2 linked regions of the Xenopus tropicalis genome follow. The protein of the gene in region 2 interacts with the protein of the main gene of each other region in a pairwise test. Links are inferred from orthologs where the notes say so. Each region holds a gene or a part of one and is shown on either strand. Other genes may lie near its edges.

The links. The genes of interacting proteins can lie anywhere in the genome.
Region 1: the proteins of hsd17b14 (region 2) and srek1ip1 interact in binary tests that used the Homo sapiens proteins (3 or more experiments, as listed by UniProt). The two-hybrid records come from large-scale screens. The link is inferred for Xenopus tropicalis from reciprocal best matches to the Homo sapiens genes HSD17B14 and SREK1IP1.

Annotation. Positions count from the first base shown.
Region 1 is NC_030677.2:188,224,037-188,235,417, reverse strand, and holds the start of srek1ip1 (protein SREK1IP1), read right to left. Parts: upstream 6,116-11,381; 5' UTR 6,045-6,115; coding exon 6,032-6,044; intron 1-6,031. Other genes in the region: spliceosome-associated protein CWC27 homolog, read left to right, coding at 6,490-6,531, 8,916-9,012. UniProt on the Homo sapiens protein: Possible splicing regulator involved in the control of cellular survival.
Region 2 is NC_030683.2:114,406,471-114,410,762, forward strand, and holds the start of hsd17b14 (17-beta-hydroxysteroid dehydrogenase 14), read right to left. Parts: upstream 2,801-4,292; 5' UTR 2,714-2,800; coding exon 2,611-2,713; intron 185-2,610; coding exon 149-184; intron 1-148. UniProt on the Homo sapiens protein: Catalyzes the NAD(+)-dependent oxidation of L-fucose, yielding L-fucono-1,5-lactone, which rapidly converts spontaneously to L-fucone-1,4-lactone. Can also act on D-arabinose and L-galactose, with lower catalytic efficiency. Does not use NADPH.

The sequences.
Region 1 (11,381 bases), on a different chromosome or scaffold from region 2:
TTTGATTATTGAAACTTAGCAGTAGCTGCTGCATTTCCCGCCCTAGGCTTATACTCGAGTCAATACGTTTTTCCAGTTTTCTTAGGTAAAATTAGGTACCTCGGCTTATATTCGGATCGGCTTATACTAGAGTATATACGGTAATTGGGTTGCATGTGTGAAAAGCAGAGCTGTGGAGTAGGAAGCAATTTTGGGTGTCTGAAGGCGGAGCAAAAATGTACCAACTCCGACTCATAATAAATTTAAATTGTAATGATAAGAAAATACAATATGTTACAATGTTCTATTTGACAGATAACAGACATAATTAAGTACTTCTCTACTGTAAGAATAAAGCCCAGTGCGTTGTTGTTTCACTCTATAACCTTATTGTTTTCATTTTTTTTCATTTGTTTAAACTTAAAGATTAAGAAATGTTTGTAGTTTATTTAATAAATAAAATAAAAAGCCACGATGACACAAGTAACTTTGTACCCGTAACTTTGTACCTGAGCAGACGACCATAAAGTATTTCAAGAGAAATGTGATAAAGCCAAAAAAAACCACATTTCATTACGAGAAAGGTTGTGGCTGGGACACAGGACCATGTACAAACAAAGGATCTAGAAAGCTCAATGGTCAGTGCAAGGGTGTCCCTTAAAAAGCCTCCTATCTTGCAAAACATTTAAATGTGCAAGCTAGGGAGCACCAGTTACACAGAGTGTTGGGGGTCCCTGTACTTACCACATTCATAATGTGATAATTCACTGGATATAATATAGCACAAGATATAAAGGCTAGTACACGCAGAATATTGCCCTGGGCACAAGTGCTCTGTACATGGGCCTAAGGGGTACAAATTTGTTTCCTTATTGCTCTAGCACTTGCGCTTGGGGCAACACTAGCTGAAGACCCTGCTGGTTAACATGTTTGGAATTGTACTTATTCTGCCTGCAGTTAAGGAGTTAATAAAAAGGCACCAAACATCAATAAATATGATAATTTCTAATAGTGAAAGGGATTGCTCCCCCATTAAATATTTATTGACTGATATGGAGTTTTAGATCCGTATGTTAAATATTTATGAGCGTGAAAGCTGCACTGATTGATAATGATATGAATGTTCCCACGTGTAAAGGTGTGTGTAATTGTGCGATGCTGTCACACAAGCAAACTAGCTGAAAGGCAATATAAATATGTATATATTAAAATAACAAGTAAGAGCTTCTTTCATTTGATTATATCCAACCGGCAATCCAGACTCGATAGGATTGCTTTTTATGTTATTGCACAGATATCCTAATTCAAAATAAATTAAAACGTGTTCAAGTATGATGATAAGGAATGGTTTTCAAGGACACAAAGAAAATCTCAACCCTTTTCTCGTGCGGTAATGTGATACCAAAGAACTTCAACAAACAATCCCCCAAAATCAAAGCACGGCTATTTTGTGTGTGCCAATAATATCACTAAACTATTGACTTACTAAGCTCATGAAGAATAAGGGCAACTAAACCTCTGACTTCTGCCATTTATACTCCAGGCTGAACAGATGTTTTTATACAACTTATAAATGCAGCTTAAAGTAATACTGTGCCCCGTTTGGTGGTGCTATCTTAAATAACTTAGGGGGATTCAAACATCTAAGCAAAACTGAGATCCTGTAACAGGAATCAAAAGACCTATATATAAAATTTAAATGGCACACTATACTGTATATATAGAATATAAAAGTCACACTATACTGTATATATAGAATATAAATGGCACATTATACTGTATATATAAAATTTTAATGGCACACTATACTGTATATATAGAATATAAATGGCACAATATACTGTATATATAGAATATAAATGTCACAATATACTGTATATATAGAATATAAATGGCACAATATACTGTATATATAGAATATAAATGTCACAATATACTGTATATATAGAATATAAATGTCACAATATACTGTATATATAGAATATAAATGGCACAATATACTGTATATATAGAATATAAATGTCACAATATACTGTATATTTAGAATATAAATGTCACAATATACTGTATATTTAGAATATAAATGTCACATTATACTTTATATATAGAATATAAATGTCACAGTATACTGTAGTTTCTTAACAGCTGCCCAGATCACACTGAGCATTTGTAGTGCCGCTGACACTCCAAAATCCAAGATGGGGAGCTCTTGTGTACAACATTGAAGGCCTGGCTTGTTACTACAATAAAGATGCTGAAATAAAAGTATTGCATTAAAATAATATCCCCTTTAAGTTTTAATTCAAACTTCATTATATTCCAGATTCCAAGATCTGCATTGCCAAATATAAAAGCAAAGGTGACCACACACAGATCATTACTGGTCCACTGAGCAGCAGAAATGAGCAGGAAAGCGGCAGAAGATGCGGTCTGTATTGGTGAATTAAGCAGTTCCAGTTCTGCCTGGTCCCCACCTAAACAAAACAGCAGAGGGTGCTCCTTTTACACATTTATGAAATTAGCAATGTAAAAACTGCTAATATCATAAATGTGGAAAAGGAGCACCCTGCTGTAAGGTCCATACGGACCAAATCAGCAGCTTTTATTGGCCCATGTATACTCTTAATAAAGGACAAGACAGTAAAGGAAGGAGAGCGAGAACCCCTTCTGCTTATGTCACCTTGACTAAGAGACCCTCTATCCTCTTTCAAAGGGCTTTCCCCTCAATAATCTTTCAACCACTACCCCAACTGTAAACTAATTTGGATTTGACTTTTCGTAAACACATATCTCCACCCCGTACTACAGGCTCTATCTTTTGAGCCCACTGCATGCTGCACCTCTACTGATTTCCTTCTGATTTTCTTTGACCATAAGAAATCTCCTTATACTTCAGAATCATTAGCCAGCAGTGCACCGCTAAGAAACCTGAATTCTGCACCAATTGCACTATGAGCGCAGCACAATAATCAGAAGTATGAAAGGCAGATGAGAGCACTTGTCAGGAGATTGCTGCTTTCAAATGAAATGCAAATAAAATCAAGAGAGGCAGAAGGAGGCTGTGACATTGTTCTCTACACCAGTGTTTTTCAACCTTTTTTGGGCAAAGGCACACTTGTTTCATGAAAAAAATCACGAGGCACACCACCATTAGAAAATGTTAAAAAATTTAACTCTGTGCCCAGCAGCAGTGCCCCCCTAGTACATTGGTGCCCAGCAGCAGTGCCCCCTAGTACATTGGTGCCAAGAGCAGTGCCCCCCTAGTACATTGGTGCCCAGCATCAGTGCCCCCCTAGTACATTGGTGCCAAGAGCAGTGCCCCCCTAGTACATTGGTGCCAAGAGCAGTGCCCCCCTAGTACATTGGTGCCAAGAGCAGTGCCCCCCTAGCACATTGGTGCCAAGAGCAGTGCCCCCCTAGTACATTGGTGCCCTGCCTACGGCACACCAGGCAACAGTGGTTGAAAAACGCTGCTCTACACTGTTGGCCAGGGCCCTTGCTAAAGCCATAGCCAGATCCAAGTATTGTCCTTTAAAAAGGAAAATCATTTCTGTTCAGGTCCTTTAGAGCCCAAAGTTAACAGACGACTGAAACAGAATATACAGCAAATGCTTTAGACAGAGTTCTCTATTTGGTTGAGGAGGATATAAAAGTTTACATTTGGCAACCCTTTCCTTTCTGACAAGTTTTATCAAAGGCCTCTCCAGTCATGGAAATAAAAAGGTTACTTTTTTTAAAGCGTAAATTTAATGAGTTTTAACCAGACCACACTACTTTACACAGCATGCAGCACTATCGAAAGGCACAGCATAAGTGACCCATTTTCACTGTTGACAGCATTTTCTCTTTAGACCTATGGTGCACACAGCATCATACTGGTATGAAGTATCCATATTCAGGGCGGGACCATAGTGCCCTCCTTACACTCACAAATGACTCATGAATCACTAATAGAATGACATGCTTATATCTGGGGGACACTTGCTACTAATAACCACTTTTATTAAAAGTGAATACAATCAAATATGCCTGTGGCAGAAAGGTGCTGAGAGTTAGACCAGTCATGCACACAGCATGTTAAAACCTGTTCATAACACCCATCATGTTTACAGGGTAACCCTTTTGAAATAAAAAATAACAAAAGTGGTATAAAGGTGATACCTTTATTGGCTAACTAAGATAATCATAGCAAGCTTCCAGAACATTTTAGTTCCTTTTTTCTAGCCAATAAAGGTACAGGTATGGGATCCCTTATCTGGAAACCCATTATCCAGAAAGTTCCGAATTACGGAAAGGTCATCTCCCATAGACTCCATTTTAATCAAATAATTCACATTTTTAAAAATTATTTCCTTTTTCTCTGTATAAATAAAACAGTACCTTGTTCTTGATCCCAACTAAGATATAAGCAGTGGGGGATTTTTGGTCCCATTTAAAAACTGTTGAAGTCACACGGAGCTACTAGTAGCAGCTACTTTTTTACAGCTACTAAATGCCAGAAAATCCCCTGCCATAGACAATACTGAGAATTGCCTCTGCTAAAAAACATGTTGAGACTGTTATCCAGGGCTGTGGAGTCGGTAGAAAAATTCTCCGACTCCTCAGTTTCTGATACTTCCGACTCCTCTGTTTTTAATATGCGAATGTATTTTATACATTCATACAGTCAGTGAAAAGCATGCTTCATGGTCACTCAACGTGTTAGTTTATGCACTGCGTGCATTGGGCTTTATTCTTATAGCAGAGAAGTAATTAATTATGACTGTTTGTGAATTGGGACATTTAAACTTGCTTTATTTTTTTTTTTTTATTCCCATTTAAATTTAGTAGGAGTCGGAGTCGGTTCATTTTTTGCCGACTCCGACTCCAGGTACCCAAAATTGCCTCCGACTCCTCGACTCCGACTCCACAGCCCTGCTGTTATCAGTAAATGATCAGCATTGTCTACTACAAGTAGCAGCTACTATTAGCTCCATGTGTCTTCACCCTAAGGGCTCTGGTACATGGGGAGATTAGTCGCCCGCAACACGGGAGATTTGTCGCGGGCGACTAATCTCCCCATGTACTAGAGCCCTAAGGGTACAAACCCACTGAGTGAGTTAGGAGAGATCTATCACATGTGAGTAACTGCTTCGAAAAGGCTTTCCACAGGTAACAATAGAAGTCGCTGGTGGAAAGCCCTTTGTATCGTTTCGTGTTCCGAAGTTGCACAAAGTTTCCTCCTGCAGGCAACTCTGCGTGAGTAGTCCTTTTTGGAGCAGCTACTCGCATGCGATATTGTGGGCAAGTAACTCGCTCGGTGGGTTCTTAGCCTAAAGCTGGCCATACACGGGCAGATCCGCTCGCTTGGCGATGTCGCCAAGCGAGCGGATCTTCACCCGATATCACCACCTACGGGTGGCGATATCGGGGAGGAATTTCGGTGAATTCGATCGTTTGGCCCTGGGGCCAAACGATCGAATTCTGCAAGCAGCAATGGGGCAGTCGGTTCGGGGACCACATCAACGAGCCGATGCGGTCCCCGGTCTGACAGGATTTTCTAACCTGGCCGACCGATATCTGGCCAATTTCAGGCCAGATATCGGTCGGCCAGTCCGATCGTTTCTGCCCCTGCACGGGCCGATAAGCTGCCGAGTCGGTCCAAGGGACCAATATCGGCAGCTTCTATCGGCCCGTGTATGGGGACCTTAAGAGCCTGAAGACAAAGGCAGAAACAACCGAAAATATAAAATGAAGACTAGTTGAAAAGTTGCTCAAAACAGGCTATTCTATAACATACTTAAAGTTTAACTGAAGGTGAACCACCCCTTCAAAAGCAGAAAAAAATGATGTCCTACGTATTTTGGGGACTCGGGCATAAAATAGCGGGGGATAAAACTAATTGGGTTGGGGAGTTGGGTTGTGTGCGTACAGTGTACAGTACAACATAATGCACTTTGCAGAGACTTTACACATGTCGAGTTCAGACTCGAGCCTGTATTATAAAAGTCCTCTCTATCAAAATCAGATGGATCAGGTGAGGTAAAAAACGTGATTTATAAATCAGACTAACCTGGGACAGCCATAAGTCACAATTCTCAGCGTCCGTACACAGAAGATCGCACCCCTCAAACAGTTACTGCGCGCCTCCTAACCAATTCACTTCCTCGGAACTCAATCACAGCATGGACTTGTTTCTCAGCGGAACAGAATAAGCGGTGCGCAGTGGAACGCAAATGAAAGCTCTGGTTTCCGGGAAGTGTACTTTCGGCCACACTAAGAGAAAGGGGGGAACTAAAGCAATGCAACTCTGGTGTAATCATCCTCTGCTGTAGACGCTGTGATCTTGGAGCATTCGGGTAACAAAATACGAGCTACTATATAACTGTGGATGGGACGAGTCCTGTTAACGCTCTTTGCTGTGTCATTTTTAAATCAGAATCTTCTCTGGCACCCCTCTGAGGCTGTATGTGGGCGGTCCCGTCCTGTCAGGTTGCACGCTGGAGTTTGTTTGCAAGAAGCTGAGTAACAATGAGCAATATTTACATTCAGGAGCCGCCGACAAACGGCAAGGTGAGCAGCGGGAGAAAGTAAGGGGCTTGTAGGGCAGAAGGATAAAGGAATAATATTTAGCATGGGATTCCCATCTGCTGTTGCTGAAATATCTCTCCCAGCGCGGTACCTGATAAAGGAAATGTAAAGTCTATAAGTAAATTTACTCAATGTTTTTCTGTGAAAATACATTTCCCAGGGTAAATGTTTTAGTTTCGCGTCATGTAGCTGCCCCCCCCAGCTGTCAGCACATTGGTATAATCCACATGGGGAGCAGAGAGGACTGTGCTGCGCTTTATGGAGACTCCTCCTGCATATTCAGCCCTAGGACAGAGCTTCTGAGCTGACTAACTAATGTCCTGCTAGGAAGGTGCCCAAATGCACCAGTGCAGGCTGTCCTTTAGTTACATGAATGGGCTCCAGGCGAACCCCAGCCACATATATAGGCTATATACCAAACTAACATACCTAAACTATATATACCAACATCAATACTAACTGTAGATATTAGTATCACAATAGCCTTGGATATTCTGCTTGTTCAAGAACTCATCCAGGCCCCTCTTATAGGCATTAACAGAGTCTGCCATTACCACATCACTAGGAAGGGCATTCCCCAACCTCACTGCCCTCCCCGGGGCGTGAGGAACCCCCTACGCTGCTTCAAATGGAAGCTCCGTTCCTAAGGGGGGGCCTCTGGTGTGGTGGTTGTTTTTATGGGAAAAAAAGAACCCCCCCATCTGCCTATATTCCCCTCTAATGTACTTGTACAGAGTAATCATGTCCCCTCGCAAGCGCCTCTTTTCCAGAGAAAACAACCCCAACCCTGACAGTCTAACCCCATAGTTTAACCCTTCCATCCCCTTTACCAGTTTAGTTGCAGTCTCTGCACTTTCTCCAGCTCATTAATATCCTTCTTAAGGACTGGAGCCCAAAACTGCACTGCATACTCAGGGTGAGGCCTTACCAGGGACCTATAAAGGGGCAAAATTATGTTTTCATCCCTTGAGTCAATGCCCTTTTTTTAAGCACTTTATTGTAGCCACAGAATGACACTGCCTAGAATTAGACAACTTGTTATCTACAAAAAAAACCAGATACTTCTTTATTAAGGATCCCCACAACACACTACTATTTAGTGTGTAATATTATTACATTATTATATTATTTCTACCCAAGTGCATAACTTTGCAGTTTTCAACATTAAACCTTATTTGCTGCCCAGTTTTCCAGCTTTGTCAGCTCTGCAAAGCGGCAGCATCCTGCATGGAACTTATAGTTTTGCACAATTTAGTATCATCAGCAAAAATAGAAACAGTACTTTCAATGTCCACCTCCAGGTCATTAATAAACAAGTTAAAAAGCAAAGGACCAAGGACTGACCCCTGCGGTACTCCACTAACAACACTGGCCCAATTAGAAAATGTTCTATTTACCACCTCTCTCTACACTGTAATCTATCCTTCAATCATTTATTTATCCAATTTAAAATATTATGTTCCAGTAGTGCTGGGCGGTATACCGGTATATACCGAACACCATTTTTTTAAAAAAAAAATGATAAAAATTTTTAACTTACCGGCATACCGGTGTGGGCGCCTCCTGGCAATTTTTCTTACTATTTCCGGGTTGTGCGCGCTGACGTCGCGCGTGCAACCCGGAAATAGTAAGAAAAATTGGGGGGGGGGGGGTGTTTGGGGTGGTCACCTAATCATGCATGGGGAAAAAAAAATACCGTCAAATACCGTGATACCGATATAATAAAAAAAATACCGTGATATAAATTTTTGGTCATACCGCCCAGCACTATGTTCCAGGCCAAATTTTACCATTAACTTTCTGTGCAGTACTGCTAAATGCTTTAGCAAAGTCCAAGTAGATCACATCCACTGCCATCAACTTGCTCACCTCCATATTGTTGCTCAATGTCATCCCATTTCTTTCTATATGATGTACCCATAAGTATCTCCTGAACTACGCTGTGATAATTATATATCTAGTTCCATGTAAGAGGTAAAGAAGGTCTACAGCAGTGAGCCCCAACCAGTGGCTTGCAAGGAACATGTTGCTCCCCAACCCCTTGGAAGTTGCTCCCAGTAGCCTCTGGCTTGGATGCAAATTTTGGGGGCATAAAGACCATGTGTACTGCCAAACTGAGCCTCCTGTAGTCTGCCCATCCACGTTGGGCTACCTAATAACCAGTCACAGTCCTCATTGTAACCCCTAGAAAACTTTTTCGTGCTTGTGTTACTCCCCAACTTTTTTATATTTAAATAATGCTCACGGGTAGGGTAGGATGTCCTGTGTGAACTTGTGTCATACTATATGCCACACGTGAAAGACAAAGGCAGCAAGAAGAGGAAGAAATCCTGCCCAAATAATAATTTTTACTACCACTTTTCCAGGTTTTGCTGAAAACAACTGCTGGAGAGATTGACATTGAATTGTGGTCAAAAGAGGCACCAAGAGCATGCCGAAACTTTGTACAGCTTTGTTTAGAAGGTAACGTTGCAAACAGAAACACACACTTGCAATAAAAGCCAGATTACTTCAGAACTTTAGAAAACCGTTGATAATGATGCCTTGCTAAGCTGATCCTTGCAACCAAAGAGAAAACCAACAGTGGCAGGCAATAATTTATTATTTTTTGCTTCTATTGGGTCATAGATTTGATTTTCTATTGATTTCCCCCTTCTTCTTCCCTTTTTAAATTGGGTAATCTATTTCACAACCCCTTATGCACTTTGTTTTAATAAATGTTATGCATTGTAGAAAGACATTTCACATTATTAAAAGAAGTGGAATCCCACTCTTAACGTCATGGGCGGCCGTATATGGCACTCAAACCATAGCTTAAGAACCCTTGCTTTATAGTGACACATTAACCTATGCTAAACTATGTGGGGATACAATAACAGGTGGCTAGTTTGCTCCAGTCCTGTGAAGCCAAAGCAAGAAATCAGTTGCAGGGGCATGCTGGTTTGTAAAGCTTCCTATTACTATTGTTTAATTATGCCTAGAACTACACATGTTAAAAAAGCTACTTATGGTGCAAAGCTAAAACAAAAAAAAGCATTTATTTATGAAAGTGAAAACATGGCAACTACAATTCTGTCCAGTTGCTGGCTGCTGAATAATTCTTTTTACTGACACTGCTAGATTATACTAGATTATACCTCATATCTGTATGCTTAAGCACAGCTTTTCGTTGTTTTCTTTTGTTAATTAAACCTGTTTGATAGATATGCAGTACAATAGGACCCATGTGGAATATTTCATTAATGGAAGACCTAGATGGAGCATTGAGTTCATGTTATCACATGACCATACCCATATTAATGGTGGTAGTACAGCAAAAACCTGCCATACTCTGCCTTCCCTACCCTGCCTGTGTGTGCCATACTCTGCCTGCCCTATGCTGCCTGTGTGTGCCATACTCTGCCTGCCCTATGCTGCCTGTGTGTGCCATACTCTGCCTGCCCTATGCTGCCTGTGTGTGCCATACTCTGCCTGCCCTATGCTGCCTGTGTGTGCCATACTCTGCCTGCCCTACCCTGCCTGTGTGTGCCATACTCAGCCTGCCCTACCCTGCCTGTGTGTGCCATACTCAGCCTGCCCTACCCTGTGTGTGTGTGTGCCATACTCAGCCTGCCCTACCCTGCCTGTGTGTGCCATACTCAGCCTGCCCTACCCTGCCTGTGTGTGCCATATTCTGCCTGCCCTATGCTGCCTGTGTGTGCCATACTCTGTCTGCCCTACCCTGCCTGTGTGAGCCATACTCTGCCTGCTCTATGCTGCCTGTGGGTGTCATACTCTGCCTGCCTTACCCTGCCTGTGTGTGCCATACTCTGCATGTCCTACCCTGCCTGTGTGTGCCATACTCTGCCTGCCCTACCCTGCCTGTGTGTGCCATACTCGGCCTGCCCTACCCTGCCTGTGTGTGCCATTCTCGGCCTGCCCTACCCTGCCTGTGTGAGCCATACTCAGCCTGCCCTACCCTGCCTGTGTGTGCCATACTCTGCCTGCCCTATGCTGCCTGTGTGCTGGCACTGCTCCTACAGTCTGCACAATAACTATATATTTAAAAACTTTTTAATTGCAGTACCACCTCAGTATATGTTTTTTGTAGTGTGCAGGGTTTATTTGTGGGTTTCTACTGCTCCTACAGTCTGAGGTGTGAACAGGTGAACAATGTGGGTGATTACAGCCTGAGCCTGAGGTTTGAACACTGCAGGGGGTGAACAATGCAGGGATTAAAAGGTGTGAACAACACAGGGGATTACATTTTTAAACAATACAGGTGGTTTTCAGCCTGAATCTGAGGTGAGAACCATGCAGGGGGCCAGTTAATCTCAGTACTGATACCATTTAAAGTTTACACAAAGGTAAATCATCAAAGCAGCCAGACAGGTGGGGCGCCACACAGAGGAGTATCGCCAGTTGGACAGCACTGTTTTATATAGTTCTCTATTGTTTTTTCATTGTACTTCTTTTTTCTTATTTCTTTCTCTTCTTCAGGTTATTTCTTTATCATCCAGCATTGTCTCTACCAATAAAAATTCCCTAAGATACTTTCTTTCCTCCCTCCAAATGTTACTAAATATATTCTGCCTAGAATAAAATTTTCTTTTATTGTGCAAAAAACAGGTTTTCTGTGCTACATTTTTATTTTAACACACTACACTTTTTCTCCTTTTAGCATTTTCATTCTTTTAAGCTATCCTTTTGTTCCCCTTCTCTGGGGGGGGGGGGGGCAATGACACTAGGAAATGAAATTACTATAATTATAAGTAGCCAATATGCTTTTTTTTACATGCAAAGACTATAAATTAATATTTTACAAGGTCAAGCTAATTTTGGTGTTAATTGTC
Region 2 (4,292 bases):
TAGGGTGTAGGAGCAGAGAAAGCAGACCCAGCAGTTGCTCGCTGAGGGGGGGCAGGGATATAGGAGACTGGTCTGGTGTGTGTGTGTGTGTGTGTGAAAAAGACACATTTCCCCAAGACGTGGGAGATTCCTATGAAGAGTTCCTTACCTTTCGAGCAGAAGACCACCCTGGCGCCACTCTTTACTGCAGATACGAACAGAAGGGGCACAAAAGAGAGAAAAGAGTCAGTGCTACAGGCACATACATGCAGTATCTATGGTAAATGGCTGCTGCTGTATTGTAACACACTGAGGATCCATAGTAACACATACATGCAGCAGGATTGGATTTTGGGCTTGAGAGAGCCTTTTGTCTCCACAGTGGGGACTTCTCCTAAAGCAGGGCCCACAACCTTTCTTTCCCGTGAGCCACAGTCAAATGTAAAAAGACTTGGAGAGCAACACAGGCACCATAAAAGTTCATGGAGGAGCCAAATAATGGCTAAGATTGGCTATTAGGCAGCCTCTATGCACACTATCAGCTTACAGGGGCTTTATTTGGTAGGAAATCTTGTTTTTATTCAACCAAAACTTGCCCCCAAGTCAGGAATTCAAAAATAACTCCCTGGTTTGGGGGCACTGAGAGCAACATCCAAGGGGTTGGGCAGCAACATGTTGCCCCCGAGCCACTGGTTGGGGATCACTGGCCTAAAGCTGCTATTAGTGCCATGTGGATGCACGCTGCAATGTTTGGCGACTGGTTTAGCCTGAGATCAGGAGCCTTAGGGTAGGAGAGGCCCAAATTGTGTCCTTCTAGCACCTAGAAACTATGACTCCCTCTTTCTTTGCACTGCAATTAGAACAGGCTTGGTGTGACGAACCAGAAAGCTTTTCTTCTATTTCCTAGAAAGAATAATCAGTCACCTGTCCCTTATTACCCACACCTAGCAGTAATGCCCCCCCTATAGTGGGTACTTAGTTACTTCCCAAAGACTAGGGGGTCTGGATGAATGAGCCCCATAGTCAACGAAGTAAAGAAGATATGAAAAGCCCAAAGCAAGCTGATAACCTCCGTATTGCGTGGGTCATTATAAAGGGTATAGTACATTCTACACGACAGAGCGCCAGAGAGGGGGTCGAGCCTACACAACCCATCCCCACAGTAATAACAGGAGAAATCCTGCCCTCTGGACTTTGAGCTGAACAGAACAACCCAACCAAACAAAATGTATGTGTAACTTGTCCTTCTGCCAAGTCAAGCCAAACAAATAACACATCCAGGGCAATGTACAGATGTTGCTGGGCCCCACTATGTATACAATAGTGACTGTTTGACTGTCATTGAATTATAAGTCCCAATAAGGTGGGTGCCAGTTATACCTCGAAAAGAGCCCAAGGGGCATATATTGGGCAATGCTAATATAAAGTGCAACTGTCTGCATCTCTTCCTTCTGCTCCCCGTTCTTTTTACCTACAGCTGCTGCTCTGGCCCTACAATGTGCAGGGTTGAGGGCCATTACCCTTGCTTCCCACCTCAAGCTTTGTTGGTGTGATTAACCTGCCGACCCTCAAAATCTAACAGAAAAGTAGTAATAAAACTCCATAGGGCAGAACTCAGTTGTGGATATTGGCTGAAAATGCATCAATACAACAACATCTGGATTCTAATTTTTAGATTCGTTTTTAATTGGCCTATAGCGCTAGGATGACAGCAACAGCAAGCTTCATCCAACAAGACTAATCATAGACTTAGTTATAAATACAGGAGACAGGGTTAAACCATCTTGGCTGAAATACTGAAATTAAGGCTAGCTCCATATCCTTTTAGAGCAACAATGGGCACATCCACAAAGTTGGTGGAAATCCTTAATGATTCTCAACACAATCCATTTTTAGTATCACTATAATTGTGCTGCATTGGCTTCTTAGCACTTTAGTTCCACTTGGACATTGGGCATTTGTTGAATGCCAGTTCATAGCATATATATATATATATATATATATATATATATATATATATATATATATATATATATATATATATATATACAGTATATATAAATACATTATCCACAATTCTTCATAAACCTCAGTTGTAAAGTGGCAAAGTGCCACTTTATGTGAAGGGGTCATGGTAACAATCCCCTATAAGCACAGAGACCCATTTTTGAGCTTTGAGCACTGGATTCAGAACCATTGCCTTACTCATTTGGCTCCACTCTAGTTATAAATGCATTGAGGCGCTGCACTAAACCAGTAGAAAAGTGTGGTACTGGCGCTAAATAGGGATGCACCAAATCCAGGATTCGGCCAAGATTTAGTCTTTTTCAGCAGGATTTGGGCGAATCCATGCCTTTGGCCAAACCAAATCTGAATCCATGACGTTTTGTCACGTAAATATGGAAGTTTCTCTTTAACCTTTACTTTGCTTGGTATTCGGCTGAATCTTTTGCAAAGGATTCGGGGTTCAGCCAGACCCTAAAAAGAGGATTGGGGGCATCCCTAGTAGAAGAATGCAGGTACCCCAGTGCCCAGGGCTGCTTTATGCCACTGCCCATATACACAATAATAAATAAAAGGCAGATACATTGGGATTTAGTTATAAACTTTAGCAGCAAACTGAATCCTTACCAAACTCCTTGACCATTGCTTCTCCGATGCCCTTGGTGCCCCCCGTTATGACTGCCACCCTGTCACGGTACCGCAGACTCAGCTCTGCCCCACTGGCAGCCATGGTGCTTCTCCTGCGAGGAACCCAGTAGCAGTGCCCAGAGCTGCAGGGAGCAGAACTTCAGTCACGCTCTGAGCAGCTGATCTAACAGGAAATAAGTTGGCTGAGCTCCAGGCCCAGGGAATTATGGGGGGCGTAGTCCTGAGAAGCCAGTGTTAAGAGTTATGTGGAATCCCATTGTTTTGTATGGAGAGGAAGAAATCTGCTCCGGCAGGGTGTGTATCTGTGCAGCCTGAGAATTACCTGCTAATCGATTAACAAGCAAAGACAGGCTAATAAAGCATTTATTACTATATAATGAATGTACCCGAATGGTTGGATACAGGAACAGGGAATATTTTACATTTGAGATATTGAATTAAAGGGACAGTATATCCCTAAAAACATATTTGCTAAATATTAGCACATCAAATAGGACTTATGCTAAAATTACATTCTATTGTTTTAATTAACAAAAATAAAAATTTTCCTATTTTTTGCCATTATAAAGCACTCAAAGCAAAAGTTGCTTGGTAAATCATCTTGGCATGCCATTGTCCTTATCCACTAAAGTACAGGTATGGGACCTGTTATCCAGAATGCTTCACACCTGAGGTTTTCCAAATAAAGGGTCTTTTTGTAATTTGGATCTCCATACCTTAAACCTAATAAAAATCATTTAAACATGAAATAAACCCAATAGGACTGTTCTGCCCCCAATAAGGGGTAATTATATCTTCGTTGGGATCAAGTACAGGTACTGTTTTATTATTACAGAGAAAAGGGAATCATTTAACCATTAAATAAACCCAATAGGGCTGTTCTGCCCCCAATAAGGGGTAATTATATCTTAGTTGGGATCAAATACAGGTACTGTTTTATTATTACAGAGAAAAGGGAATCATTTAACCATTAAATAAACCCAATAGGGCTGTTCTGCCCCCAATAAGGGGTAATTATATCTTAGTTGGGATCAAGTACAGGTACTGTTTTATTATTACAGAGAAAAGGGAATCATTTAACCATTAAATAAACCCAATAGGGCTGTTCTGCCCCCAATAAGGGGTAATTATATCTTAGTTGGGATCAAGTACAGGTACTGTTTTATTATTACAGAGAAAAGGGAATCATTTAACCATTAAATAAACCCAATAGGGCTGTTCTGCCCCCAATAAGGGGTAATTATATCTTAATTGGGATCAAGTACAGGTACTGTTTTATTATTACAGAGAAAAGGGAATCATTATAACCAAACCTGGTACTATTTTCTAACACCAATATGTTAATAAATATCTTACAATTATGGGAAGAACTAAAATGAGGAGTGTTTAGGGCACAATGAGCAGATCCAAAGAATGTACTGGGTGTAATAGAAAGGGGCAGAGTATTTATTACATGATCAGGAGGGCAGATGCTACTAGAGAAAGTAACCCCTAAACTCTAGGAACCCCAAATTAACTAGAGAATGCTGCCCCCCCTGCTACTGTGTAGCAAACCCAATCAGTGCAGAGTAGATATCCTGGGCCATCCCACTTACCTGTTTGAGGAGGGGAGCAGGTCCTGCAAGGGGAGGGTTGGTTCTGACAATTCATATACTTATTAA